Arabidopsis thaliana: one gene and its partners. The protein of the gene in region 1 interacts with the protein of each later gene in a pairwise test. Each region holds a gene or a part of one and is shown in the gene's direction. Other genes may lie near its edges.

The links.
Region 2: the proteins of AT1G73920 (region 1) and BTI2 interact in a two-hybrid assay, tested with the Arabidopsis thaliana proteins (one large-scale study listed by BioGRID).
Region 3: the proteins of AT1G73920 (region 1) and ERD2 interact in a two-hybrid assay, tested with the Arabidopsis thaliana proteins (one large-scale study listed by BioGRID).
Region 4: the proteins of AT1G73920 (region 1) and SPX1 interact in a two-hybrid assay, tested with the Arabidopsis thaliana proteins (one large-scale study listed by BioGRID).

The regions. Positions count from the first base shown.
Region 1 is NC_003070.9:27,788,551-27,795,483, forward strand, and holds AT1G73920 (alpha/beta-Hydrolases superfamily protein), read left to right. Parts: upstream 1-2,186; 5' UTR 2,187-2,643; coding exon 2,644-2,684; intron 2,685-3,045; exon of another isoform or gene 3,046-3,050; coding exon 3,051-3,224; intron 3,225-3,308; coding exon 3,309-3,705; intron 3,706-3,803; coding exon 3,804-4,102; intron 4,103-4,196; coding exon 4,197-4,265; intron 4,266-4,364; coding exon 4,365-4,421; intron 4,422-4,846; coding exon 4,847-4,899; intron 4,900-4,989; coding exon 4,990-5,065; intron 5,066-5,199; coding exon 5,200-6,148; 3' UTR 6,149-6,378; downstream 6,379-6,933. Other genes in the region: AT1G73890 (Bifunctional inhibitor/lipid-transfer protein/seed storage 2S albumin superfamily protein), read right to left, coding at 1-108; ARP4A (actin-related proteins 4A), read left to right, coding at 743-755, 892-983, 1,113-1,259, 1,347-1,420, 1,573-1,750; AT1G73930 (polarity axis stabilization protein), read right to left, coding at 6,797-6,933.
Region 2 is NC_003075.7:6,837,243-6,842,193, reverse strand, and holds BTI2 (VIRB2-interacting protein 2), read left to right. Parts: upstream 1-2,157; 5' UTR 2,158-2,615; coding exon 2,616-2,868; intron 2,869-3,189; coding exon 3,190-3,370; intron 3,371-3,459; coding exon 3,460-3,601; intron 3,602-3,691; coding exon 3,692-3,761; intron 3,762-3,848; coding exon 3,849-4,018; 3' UTR 4,019-4,283; downstream 4,284-4,951. Other genes in the region: AT4G11230 (Riboflavin synthase-like superfamily protein), read left to right, coding at 125-292, 366-525, 608-817, 909-1,037, 1,123-1,201, 1,294-1,403.
Region 3 is NC_003070.9:10,257,437-10,263,086, reverse strand, and holds ERD2 (ER lumen protein retaining receptor family protein), read left to right. Parts: upstream 1-1,854; 5' UTR 1,855-2,180; coding exon 2,181-2,271; intron 2,272-2,278; exon of another isoform or gene 2,279-2,525; intron 2,526-2,670; coding exon 2,671-2,936; intron 2,937-3,643; coding exon 3,644-3,759; intron 3,760-4,158; coding exon 4,159-4,232; intron 4,233-4,318; coding exon 4,319-4,382; intron 4,383-4,470; coding exon 4,471-4,507; 3' UTR 4,508-4,839; downstream 4,840-5,650. Other genes in the region: AT1G29320 (Transducin/WD40 repeat-like superfamily protein), read right to left, coding at 4,849-5,183, 5,277-5,334, 5,411-5,466, 5,590-5,650. UniProt on the Arabidopsis thaliana protein: Required for the retention of luminal endoplasmic reticulum proteins. Determines the specificity of the luminal ER protein retention system. Also required for normal vesicular traffic through the Golgi. This receptor recognizes H-D-E-L.
Region 4 is NC_003076.8:6,800,247-6,804,550, forward strand, and holds SPX1 (SPX domain-containing protein 1), read left to right. Parts: upstream 1-2,035; 5' UTR 2,036-2,182; coding exon 2,183-2,452; intron 2,453-2,533; coding exon 2,534-2,660; intron 2,661-2,747; coding exon 2,748-3,121; 3' UTR 3,122-3,409; downstream 3,410-4,304. Other genes in the region: HBP5 (SOUL heme-binding family protein), read right to left, coding at 49-186, 266-646; AT5G20160 (Ribosomal protein L7Ae/L30e/S12e/Gadd45 family protein), read right to left, coding at 3,829-3,855, 3,955-4,086. UniProt on the Arabidopsis thaliana protein: Plays a positive role in plant adaptation to phosphate starvation. Inhibits PHR1 DNA-binding activity in a Pi-dependent manner.

The DNA.
Region 1 (6,933 bases):
GGAAAGCAGTCTGGAGGCACATGTAGCTGGTACTTGAGCGAGAACCATTCGGAGAAAGAATGCTGATAAGGAGATTAAAAGAGTGATGAGAAGAGTAGAAGAAGCCATTTTTTTCCTAGGAGACTAAGTTTCTTTCTTCTTTGTTTGTGGGAGAGTAAGGGGATTCTGAGTATTTAAGGTTGGAATCAATTGGTTTGGTGTGTGTGACTATGGACATGAATTGTTATTGCACACATGATGTGTGTTTATTTGTTGCAACACTTGAGTTCTTCATGCTCGTTTCTTATTTGGTGTTTTTGAGTTCATTCGTAAATTGTGCTTCTTGTTGACCACAAGAAAACAAGAATGTTACCGGAATCTCGTTAACAAATTTTTAGAATTTGAAATAGTTAACCAATTGAAATACCAAATTTAGAAAACTTGAGCAACAAAGTCGTTGTAGTATAGTGGTAAGTATTCCCGCCTGTCACGCGGGTGACCCGGGTTCGATCCCCGGCAACGGCGTATTTTTAATTTTTTCATATTTGTTTTTATTTTAGTCCCTTTGTTTTCAGTTTCTTTAGTTTTAGTCCCTCATATTTCAGGTTTGTTTGTTTTAGTCCTTCTCTTCTTTATATTCAACTTCCCAATCCGAGACAAAGTGAAATCACTTAAATAGTTTACTTTCCGGTTCCGTTCTTAAACCTTCCGACGAAGCTCCGGTAGAGAAAACCTCTCTTCACCTCTCCCATTCTCGGCAGCCATGTACGGTGGAGGTAGGTTTTATTTTCGTCCTCTCTAAAATCTCTCTCTGATTGTACAAATTCAGCATTACTTCTTTCCCTTTTCGCTTGAGCTCGTCTCGTAAAGGTGTAAACTTTTCCTTGGTGGGGTTTCTTATATATTGAACAGACGAAGTGTCAGCTATCGTAGTAGACTTAGGTTCTCACACTTGCAAAGCTGGTTACGCCGGAGAAGATGCCCCTAAAGCTGTTTTCCCTTCCGTAAGTCTCATTCTTTACTTCCTCTCTTTTCAATTGGTTAAAGTTAGGTCCTTTTAGTGTAGAGCAAGCAATTCGAGAAATTTAGGTTTTTTGTTGTTGCTGTTGTTGATGTGTTATATAACTTATAAGGTTGTTGGAGCGATAGATGGAAATGGAATGGATATTGATGATGCTGCAAACACCACGGAGGATGCAAAGGAGTCTGATAAAGAAAAAGGCAAAAGGAAGCTTTACACAGGATCTCAAGCTTTGAACTTTCGCCGCGATCAAATGGAGGTCAGTTTTCTTTATTAAACTTCAAAATGGTTAGGGATGAAGATAAATTTTCAGGTCTCTCTATTAGTTGACATTTGTCTGTTCCAGATATTGTCACCTACAAAGGATGGCATTGTAACTGATTGGGATATGGTGGACAATGTATGGGATCATGCTTTTAGGTAATTTGCAGAATCTGTTAGTTTTTGTCTTTAACTGTTTAATCTTTATCTTTTCCATTTATAGTTGATTGATGATTTCATCTGTGTAAATGTTTATTATTCAAGGAATTGTCTAATGATTGATCCCACGGAGCACCCAATGCTACTTGCAGAGCCTCCTCTGAACTCACAGCAGCAGAGAGAAAAGTCTGGTTTCTCTACCTTTTATCGATGCTGAGTTCATCTTGGATTAGGAACAGATTATTCTGGTGGAACATCATCAATGCAGTAATTGAAAGAACGCCTCGAGAAAGACTTGGTAGAAGTAAGGTAGTATACTGGCATCGTTAGGCTCATTCCAGCAAATGTGGTTCTCCAAGTCTGAGTAAGTAACACATTGGATTGCTCTCTAGATCTCGACTCACGTATAAACAGTGTCTTCTCATCGCTAGGGTTTGAGTCTTTTTGTGTACATGACAGGTATGCAGAGCATGGAGCTTCTTACATCCAGAGGAAATGCCCTTAAAAGCTGCTTGAGATCAAGATAACGAGAACCTTTGGAGACAGTCAGAGGGTTTAGGGATTAAGTAATTAGTATCTTTTCATTTATTTAGGCAAATATTAAACACTTTTTTATTATTATTATGAAGCTTTAGAAATAGCTTCGTATAATATAATGTTTCAACGTTAACATACAACAAATGTACTATTTTTCTAAGTGAAAACAACCACAAATGTACTTGTGTGTTTGCCTGTTTGGTAAATCCACCTTCTCCGTTATCCAAAAGTCGAATTTACGTGTCGTAGTTTTTGTCACATTCGTCATTATCCAATAACACATGTCCACGTGTCACCATTTTCTGGTCTCTGGACGGCAAGAATCGCCGACGTGCCCCTATTTAATCGGATTCTCCCATTTTTATTTTATTTTCGTCAGATTCTCTCCAATTTTGTTTTTTCTTTTTAGATTTTTGATTCTCGAATCGCGGCTCCTGTGGGTCTCTGTGTTTTCCTTATTTTGAGTTCGGATTAAATCTCGATCGCGATTTGGTCCAATATCTCCTAGCATCGAGAGATTTCTATTCTGGCTAAATTTTGTGTTTTCTCAGGTGGATAAGAAATTTTCTCTTTGTCGTTTTCCTCGATAATTTTCGGATTACGGCGACGAATCAGATTGTTTTTTGGTTTCAAATTTTCTGATATTTCCAAAAAAACAAAAAAATCTGATTTTTGAGAAAAAAGCAATGCAACGGATCGTGGACAACGCTCTCGCTGTAACCAAAGAGTGAGTCTTTTTTCTTATCGATCATCAGTGGATTCATCTGTGTATGCGCCTATAGTTGTTCTAATGTTTCATAAATGACAAGTAGAGATTTTTAAGTTTTTGATCGTTTGGTGATTATAGTAAGTCTCTTTGTTAATTAGTATTGGTAGATTGTGTTTTTGAGTTTTGTTAGACCATTTTATTCTAGTATCTTCATTCAAAGCTTCGTCTTTTAGAGTTGATGTTGGCTATGAACTTTGAGTCGGTGAAATGACTATTTCTTTTTTTTTGGTTCGTCTTTTTGTTAGATGTTCTTCTTTTCCCTTATGTTGTCTAACAAGCTTAAACTAAATAAGCTTTTTGATTATGTTTTGGCTTTTAGTGCAGATCAGTAAAAACTGTTACATATGAGTCTTTGAATAACATTGCGAGGTGCATAAATGGAGTATCAGCTCTTCTGTTGACCCTTCTCCCAGGGAAGGCTAATATTCTTGAAGGCTTACATGGCTGGGAACTCAGGCCTACGTTTCGTGGACCACGTTTACCACGGTGGATGCATAAGTAATAATTTCTCATGATTCTTCTGTTGTTAGTTTATTTGCAAGCCTTCAAAATATGCTAATTTTACTCTGTTTTTGATGGCAGTGGGGTCTCTTCTTTCAATGAGTTCATTCATGAGCTTTCTGTTGATTCTGATACTTCAAGCTTGGAGTATTCTTCTGGAGAAGATAGTGATGGTCCTTTGCCTCCATCACCATCATCTCAAAGCTCACGCCTCTCTTGGGCTAGCACTTCTGCAAGTTCTGAAAACCACTGGACAGAGTGGATTACGTTCATTCTTTGGTGGTTAATGTTTCCTGTACGGATCTTGCTATGGATACCACAATATATTATAAGTTTATTCTATAAACGAAGTTCAAGAATTCCTGCGAGCCCGAGAAGGCACCAACATTCATCTAGACCTCGTATTAGCAAGACCAACTCAAGCAAAGACCATGATGTTCCCAACCGAACTACTGATAGAAGACGTGGGGTTATTGAGGTTTGTGGATGCACGAACAAATATTCAATGTTACAATCATTTTTGTGATTTTAAACCTTTTGACAAACTCGTCCTACTTAATGTGCTTTATTTTTCAGGATCTTCATCTTGCTATCGAGATCGGCATAGAAGCAATATTTGATTTTTTTCACAAGGCTACGCATCTTCTTCTTTCTCCATCAGAAGCTTTTGCAATATTGTTATCATGGTTCTCATCTTCCAGTCGCAGCCCTAAAGAAAACCATGGTGAGGTTGCTTATGATGAAACTGTGCAGACTGCTACTTTAGGAGATACAGATCCATCCCCCACGGAAAGGCCCGTTGAAAGTCCCACACGTTTATACAACTCTATGAACACTGATACTCGAACGTGTCAAGATGTCATAACAGAGTTGGGGTAAAGGGGCAGATTCGATGTCTCATGCTTCCATTTTTTTTTTCTCTTTCTCAAGTAGTTGATATTTACTTGATTTCTCTCCTACTCTTGGTAGGTATCCTTACGAAGCTATTCGTGTTATTACATCTGACGGATATGTTCTTGTCTTGGAAAGGATACCAAGGTATAACTTTCTTGTTAGATATTAAGCTCGCTTGTGCATGCTTTCCATTCCTGTTACATTGTCTCTTAATGTGATCGTTGACTACTCTTGTCTTTGCAGACGTGATGCAAGGAAAGCTGTTTTTTTGCAGCATGGGGTTTTGGATTCTTCAATGGGGTAAGTTTCATGGTCTAGTTCTTAGATGACTCGTAAACTTTGGAAACTTAGTAAGCTGAAAAGTTGAGGAAGTATTATTTTCTATATCCATGTAGCATAACATTCCTAGGCGTTTCAATGTTCCTGACTCTTTACCCAAAAAAAAATTATTTTCATAATTTGTTCCCTTCAACTTTGCGTGTGTGTTTGATTTGCTCAAGACACAAAAATGGATTTGGGAAAATCTTTTGGTGCGATTAGGAGGGATACTGCTTTCAGTTACTTTAGTTATCTCATCTTCTTTTTTCCCTTTCCTTCTCTCCGATCCTTCTTAAAGATTTAGTTTTGACTTGGAACATCCTATAATCCTCTGATGTTTTGATCTAATATATGTCCTATGAAACATTATTGATTACTCTTTTTCTCTACTGCGTGTTTTTCTTCAGATGGGTATCTAATGGGGTTGTTGGATCTCCGGCTTTTGCTGCGTATGACCAAGGTTCAAGCCTCAAGTTTTTCATTTTCCAATCTTTTATTAATTCACATACGGCAACGATTTATCAGCTTCTTACACTCTTTTCCTTTACAGGCTATGATGTTTTTCTGGGTAACTTTCGGGGTTTAGTTTCAAGAGATCATGTGAACAAGAACATATCCTCAAAAGAGTGAGTTATTGCTTTAAAGTTCACTTCTTACTTAATCTACATGCACTGTCTGGTTTCTTTATGATAGTGGAGTTTCATCATATGTATATATTTGCAAGTTGTACAAATGTTCATTGTTATTGACCAAAATGCAGGTTCTGGCGATACTCCATTAACGAGCACGGTACTGAAGATATCCCAGCGATGATAGAAAAAATTCATGAAATAAAAACTACAGAACTCAAGCTCTGCCAGCCCAATATCGATGAAGAAATCAACCAGGAGGAGCCTTATAAGCTCTGTGCCATCTGTCACAGTCTAGGCGGTGCTGCAATTCTGATGTATGTTATTACTCGAAAAATCAAGGAGAAGCCACACAGACTCTCACGACTAATCCTACTTTCACCTGCTGGGTTTCATGAGGACTCGAACTTAGGTTTCACAATAGTTGAGTACATATTCCTTTTCATTAGTCCAGTTTTGGCTCGCATCGTGCCTGCCTTCTACATACCGACAAGATTCTTCAGAATGCTTCTGAACAAGTTAGCCCGTGACTTTCACAACTATCCTGCTCTTGGTGGATTGGTCCAAACTCTAATGAGTTATGTAGTTGGTGGAGACAGCTCGAATTGGGTCGGAGTCTTAGGATTGCCTCACTACAACATGAACGACATGCCAGCTGTCTCCTTCCGTGTGGCGCAACATCTTGCTCAGATCAAACACACCGGTAAATTCAGGATGTATGATTATGGAAGCAGATCAGCTAACATGGAGGTTTATGGCTCTCCTGAACCGCTTGATCTAGGGGAGTCTTACAAGTTCATCGATGTGCCTGTGGATTTAGTAGCGGGAAGGAACGACAAGGTGATCCGTTCCTCTATGGTGAAGAAACACTACAATGTGATGAGAGATGCCGAGGTCGATGTATCGTTTAATGAGTTTGAGTATGCTCACCTTGATTTCACATTCTCTCACCGTGAAGAGCTTTTGAGATATGTGATGTCGCGGCTTCTGCTTGTGAAACAGACACCAGTTCAACAGAGGCAGACCAGTCAGAAAGGTATGAAGTTGAAGAAGAAGAAAAAGGAGGGTACAGTAGTGTAGTAGCTGAAACCGATCTATGGCCAATGTTCAATGCCTCGTAGAGTTTGGTGTCTTTGTATTGTGATGTTGTGTGTAAGCTTCATGTGTGTGTTCTATGCCAGTATCCTATGGCTTGGCTATAATAGTGTACATATACCGTAAAGATTGATCCCTTGATGAAATGATCTTGTTGTGAGAGATGCTTTTTTCAGCCGTATGGTATATAATAATGTTTCTAGTGGTTTGGTTTCCATGAAAATGATATGATGTCATGAAAGATGCTATGAATCCAGAAAATTCCTCCTTTCCATTGGAAGATCTGAAGAGACCAATTAATCATATAGTTGGCGAATCTTTGCATACTTTGACATAGAACTTCTGTAGGTCATACAGTTTATTCATTTGTCGTAATAATATAAATCATAGTTACAGTTACATGTTTAATGGATCCAAGAAGGATAAATTTATCTGGTTATAGAGTTAAAAATACAGCAGTGATCAGTGATTTCGGTGTTGTGTGATTCTCATGTTTCAAAAGAAAAAACGAGTAAACAATTAGGGAAGATGAAGAATTTTTCTCTTTTTTCTTTGGTACAGTTCAAAGAATGAAACAGAAAAGGGAAGAAAAGAAATCAGAATCCTCATGGACGCCGTAGTGAAGAAGAGCATTCATTGGAGCTCTGATGGATCTTGAAGAAGAGATGCTCTTTGTGGATTTAAAAGCAGAAGTTGCTGCATGTCCTTTGGAAGCACACTGAACACCGCTTGTAGATCCTTCTTCAGTTTCTGAAACGTTCCTTCTGAAT
Region 2 (4,951 bases), on another chromosome or scaffold:
TGTTTTATAGGGAACCAAAACAAGCCTAATAGCTTTCCTTGCAATCCTAGAACATATACAAACTCTGTTCTTTGACACCACAAAGACTAACTTAAAGATTCTCGGTCCTAAACTCCATCTCCAGGCATCCATTTTCTATTACTTCTTCCCCTGGAGATGATTATCTCAGCATTCACATTCGTCAGCGCGGTGATTGGACAGAAGGGATTAAGAAGGCATTCTCAGTGGTATGTCATGCCCCTGAAGCTGGAAAAAGCGGACTTCTCAGAGCAGATGTACCAAACCAAAGAAGGTGCATAAAATTCTTTAAAATTCAATATATTATTCTCAGAATGTGAATTTTGATACTCTCTCTTGTAATATAGTTTTCCAGAGCTGTTGATAGATGGACCTTATGGCGCTCCAGCGCAAGACCATTGGAAGTATGATGTGGTATTACTGGTTGGCCTTGGAATCGGCGCAACACCTTTCGTTAGCATTTTGAGAGATCTACTCAATAACATTATTAAGCAACAGGAACAAGCTGTGAGTATAACAAGCTTAAAAACCTTGTTGATGAGTAACAGAATCTCAACTAAACTTTTTTGGAGTTATGTTATATTCTCAGGAATGCATCTCAGGTAGTTGTAGTAACAGCAACATCTCGTCGGATCACAGTTTCAGTTGCTTAAACTCAGAAGCTGCGAGTCGGATTCCGCAAACTCAACGGAAGACGCTGAATACCAAGAATGCTTACTTTTACTGGGTAACACGAGAACAAGGCTCGTTCGATTGGTTCAAAGAAATCATGAACGAGATTGCTGATTCAGATAGAAAGGTAAAAACAATACACTTATTCATTTTAAATTCAAAAGATTGTATGATTTCAAGTTACTCACTGACGTATTTGTCTTGTGAACAACTACAAGGGTGTTATTGAGATGCACAACTACTTGACTAGCGTCTACGAAGAAGGAGATACTCGATCCAATCTTCTCACTATGATCCAAACGTTAAACCATGCCAAAAATGGCGTCGACATTTTTTCAGGAACCAAGGTAATGATCTTTAATGATTAGTTGATTACTTTATCACAAACAACACTCTTTTCTGATCTTGTATAACAACTTTTGGTTATTTTAGGTAAGGACACATTTTGGGAGGCCAAAATGGAAGAAAGTTTTATCAAAGATTAGCACCAAACATAGGAACGCAAGAATTGGTAACACACAGAAACATCAGTTCACTGAAATGATATTCGATATCGCGGTGTATATTTGCCTTGTCTGAAGAATGTTTTTTTGTTTGTTACAGGAGTGTTCTATTGTGGAGTTCCAAGTTTGGGGAAGGAACTTTCAACACTCTGCCATGAATTTAACCAGACGGGAATTACCAGGTTCGATTTCCACAAAGAACAGTTCTAACTGGTAAAAGGATTAATCCCCCACGATTATGGTTTTTTGAATGAATGAATCAATGTTCATGTTCGTTCTCGTATCCTACTTGTTGTGTTTTCTTTTCGTTTTGTGTATCACAAATACCAACTTTTAACCATTTCATCTAGAGTAGGACTGTTAAAAAATGTAAAAAGTCACAGTTAAAGCTTGTGAAGAAAAAAAGAGTGTAAAGGAGTAAAAATGAGAAATTCAAACAAAGGGGGATGATGGGATCATTGGGATGATTGGTTCTGTCTGTTCAATTGTTTTCAAATTTGAGCACTTATTATTGGGCCTGTCTTTGAGCTCTCTTATTATTATGGGCCGATAACTAGTTTGGCCCATTTGGTTATCAACTTGAAAATGAATGAAGAAAGCTGGGGAAAAGGGTCTTTTTAAACCCGAACTGACTCAAAAGCCTCAAAAATTTCACTGTTCCTTGGTTCTTGACCGGTTTAGAATCATGGTTTCGGTTTTGAATCATATTTGCTTTCTTGGACATGAGAAAGTAACTGGGCTTCATCATTGTTTTAGCTCATTGGGCCCATATTACGACTCGAGCTAACGCTGTCAAGTTAAATGCTTTTTCACTTTCTAGAGCATTCTTTTTTAAACACTTCTTTTAACCAAGAGACGGTTCCTACTTCTCTAATATTTTTATTTTCTAGTTTTTTGGCCAGCAGCAAAATATTATTTTAATTTAGTGTCAAGATAATTAAATTATCATTGTCTTTTGAATGCAGACCGAAAGTACATGAGTCACATAAGCAAGCGGCTACGATTCAACCACGTGTCACATGACCACCGGTTCGACCGTTTCTTTGTCCAGCCGCGTGACACCTGAACCAGAAAAGTTTAATAGCCATTTTAATAACAGAGCCGTTAATTACACGTGACTTAAAAAGCCGTTATCCTTAACAGCGTTAACATCTCGGTCCTGTGAAAACACTTTTTATATGTCCCCACGACATTTATCTTTTCCTAAGCATCGCTCTAGTTAAGGAAGCAGCAGGTTTGGATCCGAACCAACCAACGGATCAGATCAGAAACAAAATATTCAACGGCTCAGATTTATTCTAATTTTCCTCCTTTTATTGTTGGTTTTTTCATTCGACTTCGAGATCTTTCTTCTCAGAGGTGTAACGAAAACGCTAGAACAATAACTTTGATCGTTCTTCTTCTTCTCTTGAATCGGAAACAATGGCGGATGAACATAAGCATGAAGAATCTTCACCTAATTTGGATCCAGCAGTGGAGGTTGTAGAGAGGGAATCGTTGATGGAGAAGTTATCGGAGAAGATCCATCACAAAGGTGATTCGTCGTCTTCATCATCATCAGATGACGAAAACGAGAAGAAGTCTTCGTCATCGTCTCCAAAGTCTTTGAAATCGAAGGTTTATCGTTTGTTCGGAAGAGAGAGACCTGTTCATAAGGTTCTCGGCGGCGGAAAACGTATGTTTACTCTGATCCCGTTTCGATATTTGTTCTCAGTTTTTTAAAACGAATTCGTTTGCGTTGGCTTGATCTGTTTGATTTTCTCACTAGTTTAAGGGATCCGTGAAGAAGATCGTTTGAATCTACATAGAGGTTTACATTGATTTGAATTCGATTTCGATTTTGATTTCTGACTAGTTTGAGAGAATTTGTGATGGAATTGATTTTTTTTTTTTTGGAAATGTGTATAATGATCTTGTGAGATTCTTGTAGTTATTGATGATATGGTTCTTATTTCGTGATTGATAAACCCTAATTTGGTGATCTTTTTAATTGCAGCGGCAGATATATTTATGTGGAAGGACAAGAAAATGTCAGGAGGTGTATTTGGCGGTGCTACAGTGGCATGGGTGCTATTTGAATTGATGGAGTATCATCTTCTTACTCTGTTATGTCACGTTATGATCGTTGCTCTTGCTGTGTTGTTTCTATGGTCTAATGCCACTATGTTCATTCACAAGTAAGTTTTGTGGTCAATCATATGAAACAGGTCAAGGTTGTCAAGCTTATTTGACTCATCTTCGTTACCAAATTTTCATTCTCTTTCAGGTCTCCACCAAAGATTCCTGAAGTTCATATCCCTGAAGAACCTCTTCTTCAGCTTGCTTCGGGTCTTAGAATCGAAATCAACCGTGGGATCTCTTCTCTTCGTGAGATTGCGTCGGGGAGGGATATCAAGAAGTTCCTCTCTGTATGTTTAAACTGTCCTGGACTTACTCGTTACTCCTCTCTCGATGTCTCACTTAAGTTTGACACTTATTGTACTGTTTGATTGAATTAGGCTATTGCCGGATTGTGGGTTCTATCGATCTTGGGCGGCTGCTATAGTTTCTTGACATTGGCATACATAGGTAACACTTACTGTTGCTAAAAGTATTTTGCTTCTGCCTTCTCTCTTATTCTGACATTGCTGATGAACGGTTATTGATTTGGTCCAGCTCTGGTTCTGCTCTTCACTGTTCCTCTTTTCTACGACAAGTACGAAGACAAAGTAGACTCATACGGTGAGAAAGCAATGGCTGAGTTGAAGAAGCAATACGCTGTGTTGGACGCAAAGGTATTCAGCAAAATCCCAAGAGGACCGTTGAAAGACAAGAAGAAGGATTAGTTTTTTTTGGGGTTTTTGTTTTGTGTGGGTTTTCTTTGGAGTGCAATGTGCACAATGCTCTGGTTTTTATACACGTGGGTTGTGTTGTGTTGTGAATTGGTAATCTAAAAGGTTATGTGTTAGATCTCAACCCAAATTTTACTTGACAACTTTGCTTTGTTTTTGGAGTGGTTTGTGGCATTAGCACAATGATTGTAGTCGTTCTCTTGATCTATATTTTTAATGTACTGATTGATTTCTGTGTTTCTAATATGGTACGTTACTCAAATATCGTTTTTTCTCGATTATATATTTGTAGTATGTCTTGATATCAAACAAGTCAGGATGGCCGAGTGGTCTAAGGCGCCAGACTCAAGTTCTGGTCCTCGTAAGAGGGCGTGGGTTCAAACCCCACTTCTGACAATTTAGATTTTTATTTTCTCTGAGCTCATTTTTTAAGTGTTTGTTACTTTATTTGTCCAAAAAATAAAAATATAACATGTTTGTATATTTACTGGTTATATATATGTAATAAGTATGAATATTAACAAATGTCAGTATGGCCGAGTGGTCTAAGGCGCCAGACTTAAGTTCTGGTCCTCTTACGAGGGCGTGGGTTCAAACCCCACTGCTGACAATTTATATTTTTGTTAATTTTAAATTATAATTACCTTCTTTTTTCTTTCCTTTATACTATGTTTTCTCATTTAACCATGTTTTTGTTTTTTCTTAAACGGTCTTATGTTTCTCAGGTAACAATCAGCTAAATAAGTAACTAGTTAAAAGTTAAAACGCTTAAGATCAATTTGTATCAAATGGTGAATCCTGAAACATAATAATATAATGGGTTCCACTTCTTATCTTTCAACAAAATAATTGTGACAACAGGATCATTTCACAAACTTGTCATAATTGTTTTGGTTCAACACATGTTCTCATTAATGGTTTTTCTTT
Region 3 (5,650 bases), about 18 Mb from region 1:
ATATAACAAAAACAAGTTTTAGCTATCGATTTTTCCAAAGTTTTACAACGAAGTTTTTATAAGTTAACATGAAGTAATAATAGTATATGTTTTAAAATTATACGTTTTTTTGTATGAAATTAAATGTTACATTACACTATTAAAGATTCCAATAATTAAAACACATGTTACAATGAGTAAATTTTATTATCAGACAATAAACATCTCTTTGCTCTAAGAAGAAACCTATGCTAGTGAAGCGTTGACTCTGGAAAGATGCAAGTGCAACGTGTCGCTGAAACATTGAAGGCGCGTGTAGAAAAATGTTAAGCTAAAGGGAAGTTCACTTTCTTTAACCAAGTTTTGCGTTTTGCAAATTACAACTAAAGAATCCACTAAAGCTAACCCAACTAAATTCAAACATTTTTCTATGTGATCAGTTTACCATCAAACTATTTCATATTTTTGCAATGTGTAGTAAAAACTTTCTTTGTTACATTATATGCTTCTTTTATAAGCAAAAATACCATATTACATTACATGTTCATTTCATTTTTGTTTGGTATTTGCGCTTACAATTTACAAAATGATTTTGTTTGATACTATTTACATTTACATGTGAAATTATTGTGTTCATCGTAAAACGTTCAAAATTTCTAAAAATTGTAAGAAATTATTGTAAATGTAAACAAAGTCGGTTTCCTATAAAACCACACGTCTGAACCACCTTAATCATCATCACAACATGAAATTACAAAAGCAGCGACTTTGTCGATTGCCGTAGTTTCATTGTAGCATAGATAATCCCGTCACGTGATGTTATCTATTTTTAACTGTTTCAATGTAGTCAGAAAAGCTATTTGTTTGATTTCAGAACTGTTTGATTAGTGGCCATTGAAAAATTCTATAATCTATAGTCAATAGTCTATACACAATTGAAAATGGTATAGTTGATTTTTTAAAATACGCCATTAAATAAAATTATATATAGAACTTCTCTATAATCGATAAAGTCGAACACTCCAGGCAACAAGCGGACCGACCACGGAGTCTAACGTAAGAGTATTATTAGTGATACTGTAGGTTTTCTTTGACTAACGATAAAGAAAAAACAAACATGTTTAATTTCTCGTGTCCTCTATATTCATGAGTCATGACGTTCATACAATTTATTCTTGTTTTAAATGACGTTCATACATCATTTTCATGGTTGTCTATTAGTTCACTAGAAAAACGAAGTCTTGAACGTTGAAGCGAAGCATTGAATATCATTTTATAATTTTATGGACTAAACTATACATTTCAATCATCTTTGCAAAAAAGAAAAAAAAAAATGAGTTAGATCATAAGGAGTCAGGACAACAGCTAGCACAAAAATCTCAAAATCCTATACTGTTTAACCCAAAACAACCGTAGAACAAATATTATTATACACCCAAAAAAAAAAACATATTTGCAATCACATTAGTTTGTAAACACTTCTATTTCGTTCCATAACCAAAAAAAAAAAAAAAAAAAAATCAACATTCAATTTTTTATTTTAAAACATGTTTGCATATGTTCATGGTATGACATTGGGTATTAATCTATCACAGAGAGCTAAAGCCCATATAAATAATAACAGAAGGCCCATATCTATTAATAACCAACTCTTAACCGGTCCATTCTAACTGTTTTTCTCAAATACAAAACACGTGGATAACACGAGGAATTAAAATTGAAGTTAAACACCACACCATGTCGCGTACGAAGCTGCCACATCACTGTTCTATTAACACGTGGCTTAATATGATGCAATATAGACCCACCGATAGCTGGCGCTTTCTAGTTTACCAAGGTGCGACGTACCAGATAACACCACCTCTCCACTTTTGAAAATTAAAACGCTCTCTTTTGGTAATTATTTAGGGAAACTTCGATAATTAATCGAATAATGAAGGACTAATTTGCAGTTTTAAGGAAATAAGTAAGCACACACGTTAGAGAAGAAAGACCGTTCCAGATTGCCACGTCATCGTCTCCTCTCAACGAGTTTCTGCAAAACCTGAAACGTGCTGCACCTTGCCTCTCTTTCTCTCTCTTCCTTCGTTTCTCTCTCGATTTGAAGAGAGAAAATTCGTTCGATTTCGTTTTCTCTTCTTCTTTTGGATTTTCCCGGAAAATTTTGGAATCGGTGAGTCTCTATCGATTACTGGTCAACCATGAATATCTTTAGATTTGCTGGCGATATGAGTCACTTGATCAGTGTCTTAATCCTTCTTCTCAAAATCTACGCGACGAAATCTTGCGCTGGTGAGTTCTCTCTCTCTCTCTCTCTTTCATGAAATGTGTTGTGTATATTTTGAAGACGAGCTCGTAGACGAAACAATCGCATTTTGCTTTGACCTTTTGTTTTCCTTTCCATAGCTTTCAAATGCAATCTTATTTGAATCCTGTTGAGGTCTATTTATCGATTTCGAGGCGAATCCGAGTTGGTAGATTGAAATTGCAAGTCAAAATAGTTGTGAAATCTCAATCTTCGAAACCACTATGGAATTTCTAAACGAGTGAGATCTCTCACCCCTAAATTGCATTAGGTTTAACGGAAAATTGCTACACGGAATGGAAAATGCTTGTAGATGCTCATGATTTTCTCATAGATTGTGCAGCTCCTAACATTGTTGCTGTTGACTTTTGGATTTTGTTGGCTAGGAATCTCTCTCAAGACTCAAGAGCTCTATGCGCTTGTGTTCTTGACTCGGTACTTGGATCTGTTTACGGATTATGTATCTCTGTACAACAGCATCATGAAGATTGTCTTCATTGCCAGCTCTTTGGCTATCGTTTGGTGTATGCGTAGGCATCCACTTGTGAGGAGGTCATACGATAAGGACCTGGACACATTTCGTCATCAGTATGTTGTGTTAGCGTGTTTTGTACTGGGACTTATCCTGAATGAAAAATTCACAGTTCAAGAGGTATTTTCATATGAATTTCACATTGCTTTTGTGTTTTTAGGTTGTAGAGACTAGGAAAGCGAATACTTGTTGTTAGAAGACATGCATATGTTGTGTAATCTTGTTTTTGGTTTATTTATTCATTTGATTCATTCGGTTCCTTCTTCTTATATCATTTGGATTTGGTAACTATCTTGGCTAGTGTAGAATAGAATATCGTCTATGTAAATGAAACTGAACATAACTCCTTCCAGAACCAATTAGGAGTCCGGCGTTTATAGTTTTATTTTTGCTTGTTTAAACGTTGTACTACCTATGTAGCCTCTCACTCGCTGATTGTTTTGAGAAACTCTTTGAATATCAAACTGTTGCATCGTGAAAGGTTTGTTTGCTTCCATTCATGGAATCTTCTGTGTCCTACCTACCTATGTTCCATAAGGTGCCCCATGGATTAGTGTCATCTGTATCTCGCTGTTACTTTTCTGGCCATTGTGTTCTTTGATTATCTTGTCATAAGAAACTGTAGTGACTCCTTATATGCACTTCACTAAGATCGTTTTCCCTTACTACCTTCATATGTATTTTTCCAGTATATGCTCTTGGTAAAGATCTGATCTTTGCAAACTGCCTTCACTCTTTAAGTATTTTTGCAGCATTGTGGCCTCTCTGTGTTGATAGCCAGAATCATTGTGCAATATGTTAATTCTGTGCATTCCAAACCATTTCAGGTGTTCTGGGCGTTTTCTATCTACTTAGAGGCAGTTGCTATCCTTCCCCAGTTGGTTCTGCTACAAAGAAGTGGGAATGTCGACAATTTGACTGGGCAATATGTTGTCTTTCTCGGGTACGTAATTCTAACCAGACATATGCGTTTGCTCACTTGATCTCCACTGGCTTCTCTGTTGGGTTTGTTTTTAGAATTGGTTTATCTTATATATATACTGTGTCTTTCACTGCTCATGCACTTGTTAACTTGATCAATGAGAATCGCTCTCCAGTGTCATTGTGGTGTTTAAAAATCAGTGCATATTTCTAAAGTCCAGACATTGTTTTCCGTTTAATGTTAATGCGTCTGGAAGCTGAGCTGAACTATATTTTTTTCTATAAAGGAAATCAGACTGCTTTACATCTTGCTATGCATTTGGTTCTGATGCATACCTTTGTGTCCAGTGCACAATATTTCAATGTGCAAAATTGAGTAAGTATTCTGTATGCACTCACATGGGCAATGATTAACATGCAGGGCGTATCGGGGACTCTATATTATCAACTGGATCTATCGCTATTTCACAGAAGATCATTTCACTAGATGGATTGGTAATGTTTCAACAAAGAAGCACTAAATGCATTTTAACCATTTGTTTTTCCTCAATGCTAATGTTTTACGTAAATCCATTTTCCAGCTTGTGTGTCTGGTCTTGTCCAAACAGCTCTCTATGCGGATTTCTTCTACTACTACTACATAAGGTAAAGTAACCTCACCAGTCTGAATAATATTCTCTTTATAGTTACTGATCATGTTACTGACTTTGGATCCTTTTTGATTTTGTTGTAGCTGGAAAACCAACACCAAACTTAAGCTTCCGGCTTGAAAAGAACCCGAATTTTTTTGCAATAGTATCAAAATCCAGGAAGTTACAGCAATGGTGACATTAGAAAAGAAAGACATGGTTAACATTTGGGTCCTCCCTCTTTCTAACAATGAGTTGAAAATTGAATGATGCAGGATTGTTGTTTAAAATGTGTTTTTTTTTTAGTCTTTAATGCACATTGTAACTTTCCCGACGATTTTAGACATTGAGAAGAGGCATCGTTTTATCAAAACTAGTCTTTATAGATAACACACAAACTCTGTTTCTTTTGTGCGAGTGTTTAGTTCAAAACTGTAGCTCAGATCAGAGCCAAGTTAACAATGTGTCTTCAAAACTTAAACCTAGTCTTCTTGATTGTGTTTCACTATCTTGGTCTTCTTCTTGTGCTCTCGTGTCTTCTTGCTTCTTAGCTCGTCTTTCTCTTCACCTTCAGAGACTTTTTCTCTACTGCGTTTCTCTTTCTTTGACTTTTTTGTTTTGACCGGAGCCTTCTCAATCTCGTCTTCATTCTCCTCATCGTCTTCACCCTCAAAGACTATTTCTCTACTGCGTTTCTCTTTCTTTGACTTCTTTCTTTTCACAGGAGCCTTCTCTGTTTCATCATCTTCCTGGTCCATGATCGTCATCTTCTCCTCTGTGGCAGCCTCAGCCACTGTGTTTGCTACAGCTGTCTCTGCTTCAACCATGAATCCAATCATTTTACAAACATACTAACAGAGGAATACAAACATAGATGCGATTTGTGAACGGCATTAGAAAACAAACAAACCTTCTCCAGAAAAGCCCGAGTCGAATACAAGACCTGTAAGATGCTGCTTCAAGAAAACCTGCAATAAAACAATGATATATAAGTAAGACTCAACTTCACCAAAAAAATACTAGTCCAAAGGTTGAAGAGCATACCGCAGAAATGAGCTGGCGTGTCTTAACGTCATAAACACGTAAATATCGGTCCAGCCCTAGACAATTCAATTAAAAGAAAAACAGATGAAATTGTTGAACAATTAAATAAAACAACACAAATGAGATTGTTGTTACGGGTTACGGCATATGGACGTTGAAGTTGTGATAATGAATCTTACCGCAAGAAGCTATCACTTGATGCTGTGGATGTCTAACCACAGATCTTATGCTTCCAGAGCA
Region 4 (4,304 bases), on another chromosome or scaffold:
ACCATACCACAATAGATTTTGGAAGAAGGACATGGCAACCATACATACCAGATGACTACAAAATTTGTTAGTTTCAGGATTAACTTCCATGATTGATAATCCAGTGAAGACAAGTTCTGGTTTCCATGGTAAAGGTATGAACTTCATCACCATTGTCCATCTCGTAGTGATCTCATATGGACCTGTCTATATATCAGCTGCATCAGTGAACTTAAAAAAAACTAGAATTAAAGAAATCAAATGATAAACAAAAGTTAGCAAAGACCTGTTTAGCCCAGTGAAGCTGAAACTGAGGAGTGAAGATATTCTTGAGGAAAGCAATGTTGAAGAGATAGCCAGAGATGGTGTCGTGCTTAGTGATTGGGTCTCTGAACTTCACGCGCTCATCGTACGCCGTTTTATCGATTCCTTGGTCGTCGAAAAGGTGAGGAAGATCCTCGTACAAGAATCCGACGAGCTCTTCCATGTTCACTGTCGACGGTGCTGAAGCCACTTCCTTGCCCACCTCAAGACTCAAAATTGGCCGTAGACGAGTGGTTACGTTGCGTCTCGGAACAGGGAGGAAACGGGTGGTTACATGCCGCCGGCAGTCACTTCCGACGGCGGTGAGTATTGGCCGGTAAAGCTGCTGATTAACGGTAGCCATTGATCGTTGATAAAAAAGTTTTCTGCTCTATTTTATTTCTTGTGGTTGTTCGCTTTCATTTAACAATCGGTTCTTTTTTGGTACTGTCGGTTCGGTTTGGTTCTGGTTTTATTTACGAACCAAACTAAATTTGTTTCGGTTAAAATTCAGATTTTTTTTTCACTCTTTAGGCTTTTTTCATTATGGAACTTTGACTTAACGAGGCCCATTCCATTTGGGCTACTGGAGGGAACTTAACTCCAACAATGGATTACTTTGCTTGCATACATTAATTACATACGTACCCAGAAATGAGACAGAGACACGAAAGTTTCGATTATACGGCAAAGTAAATATTGTTTTAGTTTATCCGTCAAAGATTGTAAAGAATACGACGACCATGTCATAAGGATTTGGACTTTGGTTGTTTGACTAATAAACTGATAGTCTTCTTAATAAATATAAATTGACAAGTTGTAAAATCAGCAGAATTTGCTGCATATAGACAATGTCAAATGGACCGGTGGTTTATCCTAAATGTCAAAATCAGAAGCTAATAATGAGCAAATGTGAATGAATTAAGACGCGAATCGGGAAAATTCAATAAATTGTCCATTGGGGGGTGCTTTAAAGAAAGATTGAAAGATGCCGAGGTTTATACCCTTTTCCTATCAAGAATATTCCATGGAATCCAACTACTTTTGACCCATTTGCGTATTTGTTAAATCTTTTCAGAAAATCAAAAGTGGGTAAATTGTCAAACTAGTTGTAGTATTGAACTACTATTTATTGATCATGCCATCATCATGGAGAGACAGATATGATCATGAAGACCAAACGTCCACGTATTTATGTCATGACGACAATCTGAGCTGGATTTGAGGATATCTGTAACTGTAAATACTATATCCAATATTCATTTTTTTTACTTTGCAATTCGTTTTTGATTAAATCTAAAAATGCAAAAAAAATAAAAAATCACTACTACATAGTGTATCTGCATGTATAAATAGACATATATTTTTAAAAAGATGATTTAATACATACTGTACATAGTTATGAAGATATCATGAACATATATAGACAATACCAAATAAGGAAATCTAATATCGTAAAATATTTAAATATCAGATGAATACAGTACAAACTCTAAAGAAAATGAATCAAGATATTAGTACGATACCCATACGAATTTAGAAAAAAATGAATCAGATAAATGGATATAAAATCTGTAATATTATTTTTCTTTTTTTGGACAGCAAATCTGTAATAATAAGTATTGGATAAATAAATTGGCATGTGAGTTGTGATTGATATTTATGAACTGACATAGGCATGTGTTATAATCTCACCCACAGATAACCACGAAAAAGTAATAAATAAGAAAGGAATAAAAGGAAGATATTCTCCCGAAAGAAAGACAGAGAAAAAAGGATATTCTAATTAGAAACCTTAAGAATATTCTTTTTAATCCCTTTTATATCTCTAAACCTCTTCCCCCTCTCTTTCTTCTTCATTCATCATTCTCACTTAAGTTTCCCAGAAAATAAAAGAGCTATGAAGTTTGGTAAGAGTCTCAGCAATCAGATCGAGCAAACTCTTCCTGAATGGCAAGACAAGTTCTTGTCTTACAAAGAACTCAAAAAACGACTCAAACTCATCGGTTCCAAAACCGCCGATCGTCCCGTTAAACGACTCCGTTTAGATGAGTTTTCCGTCGGAATATCGAAAGAAGAGATCAATTTCATCCAATTGTTAGAAGACGAGTTGGAGAAATTCAACAATTTCTTCGTTGAGAAGGAAGAAGAATATATCATCAGACTAAAGGTAATATAAACAACATTTCGAATCCGATTCCTAAAAATGATCATCTCTTTTTCTAATGTGTCTCTGTCTGTACAAAAACAGGAATTTAGAGATAGAATTGCGAAAGCTAAGGATTCAATGGAGAAGATGATAAAAATCAGGAAGGAGATTGTTGATTTCCATGGAGAAATGGTTCTTCTTGAGAATTACAGTGCTCTTAATTACACTGGTAATTTAATTTAATTGCCTCATTAAGACTTAATCTTATTATTAGTAGTAGAACAAAACGTTGATGAATGGTTTGTTGAAACAACAGGATTGGTTAAGATACTGAAGAAGTATGACAAAAGAACTGGTGATCTCATGCGTTTACCTTTCATCCAGAAAGTTCTTCAGCAACCTTTTTACACTACTGACTTATTGTTCAAGCTTGTCAAGGAATCTGAGGCAATGCTTGATCAGATCTTCCCTGCTAACGAAACTGAGTCTGAGATTATCCAAGCAGAGTTATCAGAGCATAAGTTCATGGAGAGTCTTCATATGAAGAGCACAATCGCTGCCTTGCGGGTTTTGAAGGAGATCAGGAGTGGAAGTTCTACTGTTAGTGTGTTTTCATTGCCGCCTCTACAGTTAAATGGCTTAGATGAGACATGGAAGAAGATTCCATTGTTGGAGCAAGAAGCCAAATAGAGAGTGAGACAGAGGCACACTCGCTCTATTCCACTTTTTTATACAATAGAAGAAGCTAACAGATTAAACAAGACATTATCATCAATGTACACAAAAAGGCAGAAGAAACTATAGGATCATGTTTCTGGATATCATCTTTGGTCGGTCATAAGTCCTTAGGTTACACAAAACTGCAATGTAACTTTGTTTCTGTGTTGGGTGTGTTGTAGTTGATGTAATATATACCACTTCAGATTAATTATTGATTTCTTCTTTTCCAAAGTCATATGCTAGATATTTCAAGTTCTCTACTACTACATATACAAGTTCATAATCCTCTTCAAGAAGAAATGATGACTGCAAATGATACTAGTGACTCGATCTCAATTCAAGGTAAGACTTTGCATAATGCAACAGACCAATTGATTTCGTATTCAATCTCAATTCAAGTCCTTCAATTTTTATTTCAATTTTTTTGTTCGTTTTGTGATAGATATCAAAACAAGTTCTTATAAATAACACAATGATTCGCTACAAACCAAAACCAGAAACCAACACAAATTCTTAAGAAACCAAGTTGCAGAAAAGTGAATTACGTTACAAACTTGAAGAGAAGATAGTAGAATAATGGACGGTTTTTGATTTGGTAGTTGCCTAAACAAAACTTCAGTCAAAGCCTTCCCATTCGCGGAGACCCATCATACCGAGCAATCAATTCAGAGAATGCCTTAGATCAGAAGCTTCTCAATAGCATCCTGAAGAAATGTAAAAAAAGAGTTAATGATTAACCAATTCTGTGGAATCAATGATGGTTCAAGGTTATAAAGAGAGTACACAAGTGAGGGCTAAGTTACCTTGAGATGTTGAATCTGTGATTTCAATTGACTAGCTTCGTTAGATGTGACTGAACAAGCGATAACAGGTCTAGTCACACCACAGGCTCTTCCCAAGGCTTGCTTTGAAGGCACAAAGACATAAGGAACATTCTACAAAACATTCACAAAGAAAGTAAGAATATAGAAAACTAGTATATAAGAACAACAAAGCATTACAGAATCAAAAACATACAAGCTAAACAAAATCATAAAAGACAATCATAAAGCTGTCATTTTAAACTCCAACAAGTATGAAATCAGAGTTTAGTTAACAAAATGATATACAAAACTTGGCTGAACATTGGCACAAACTAATCAAACTATATCCT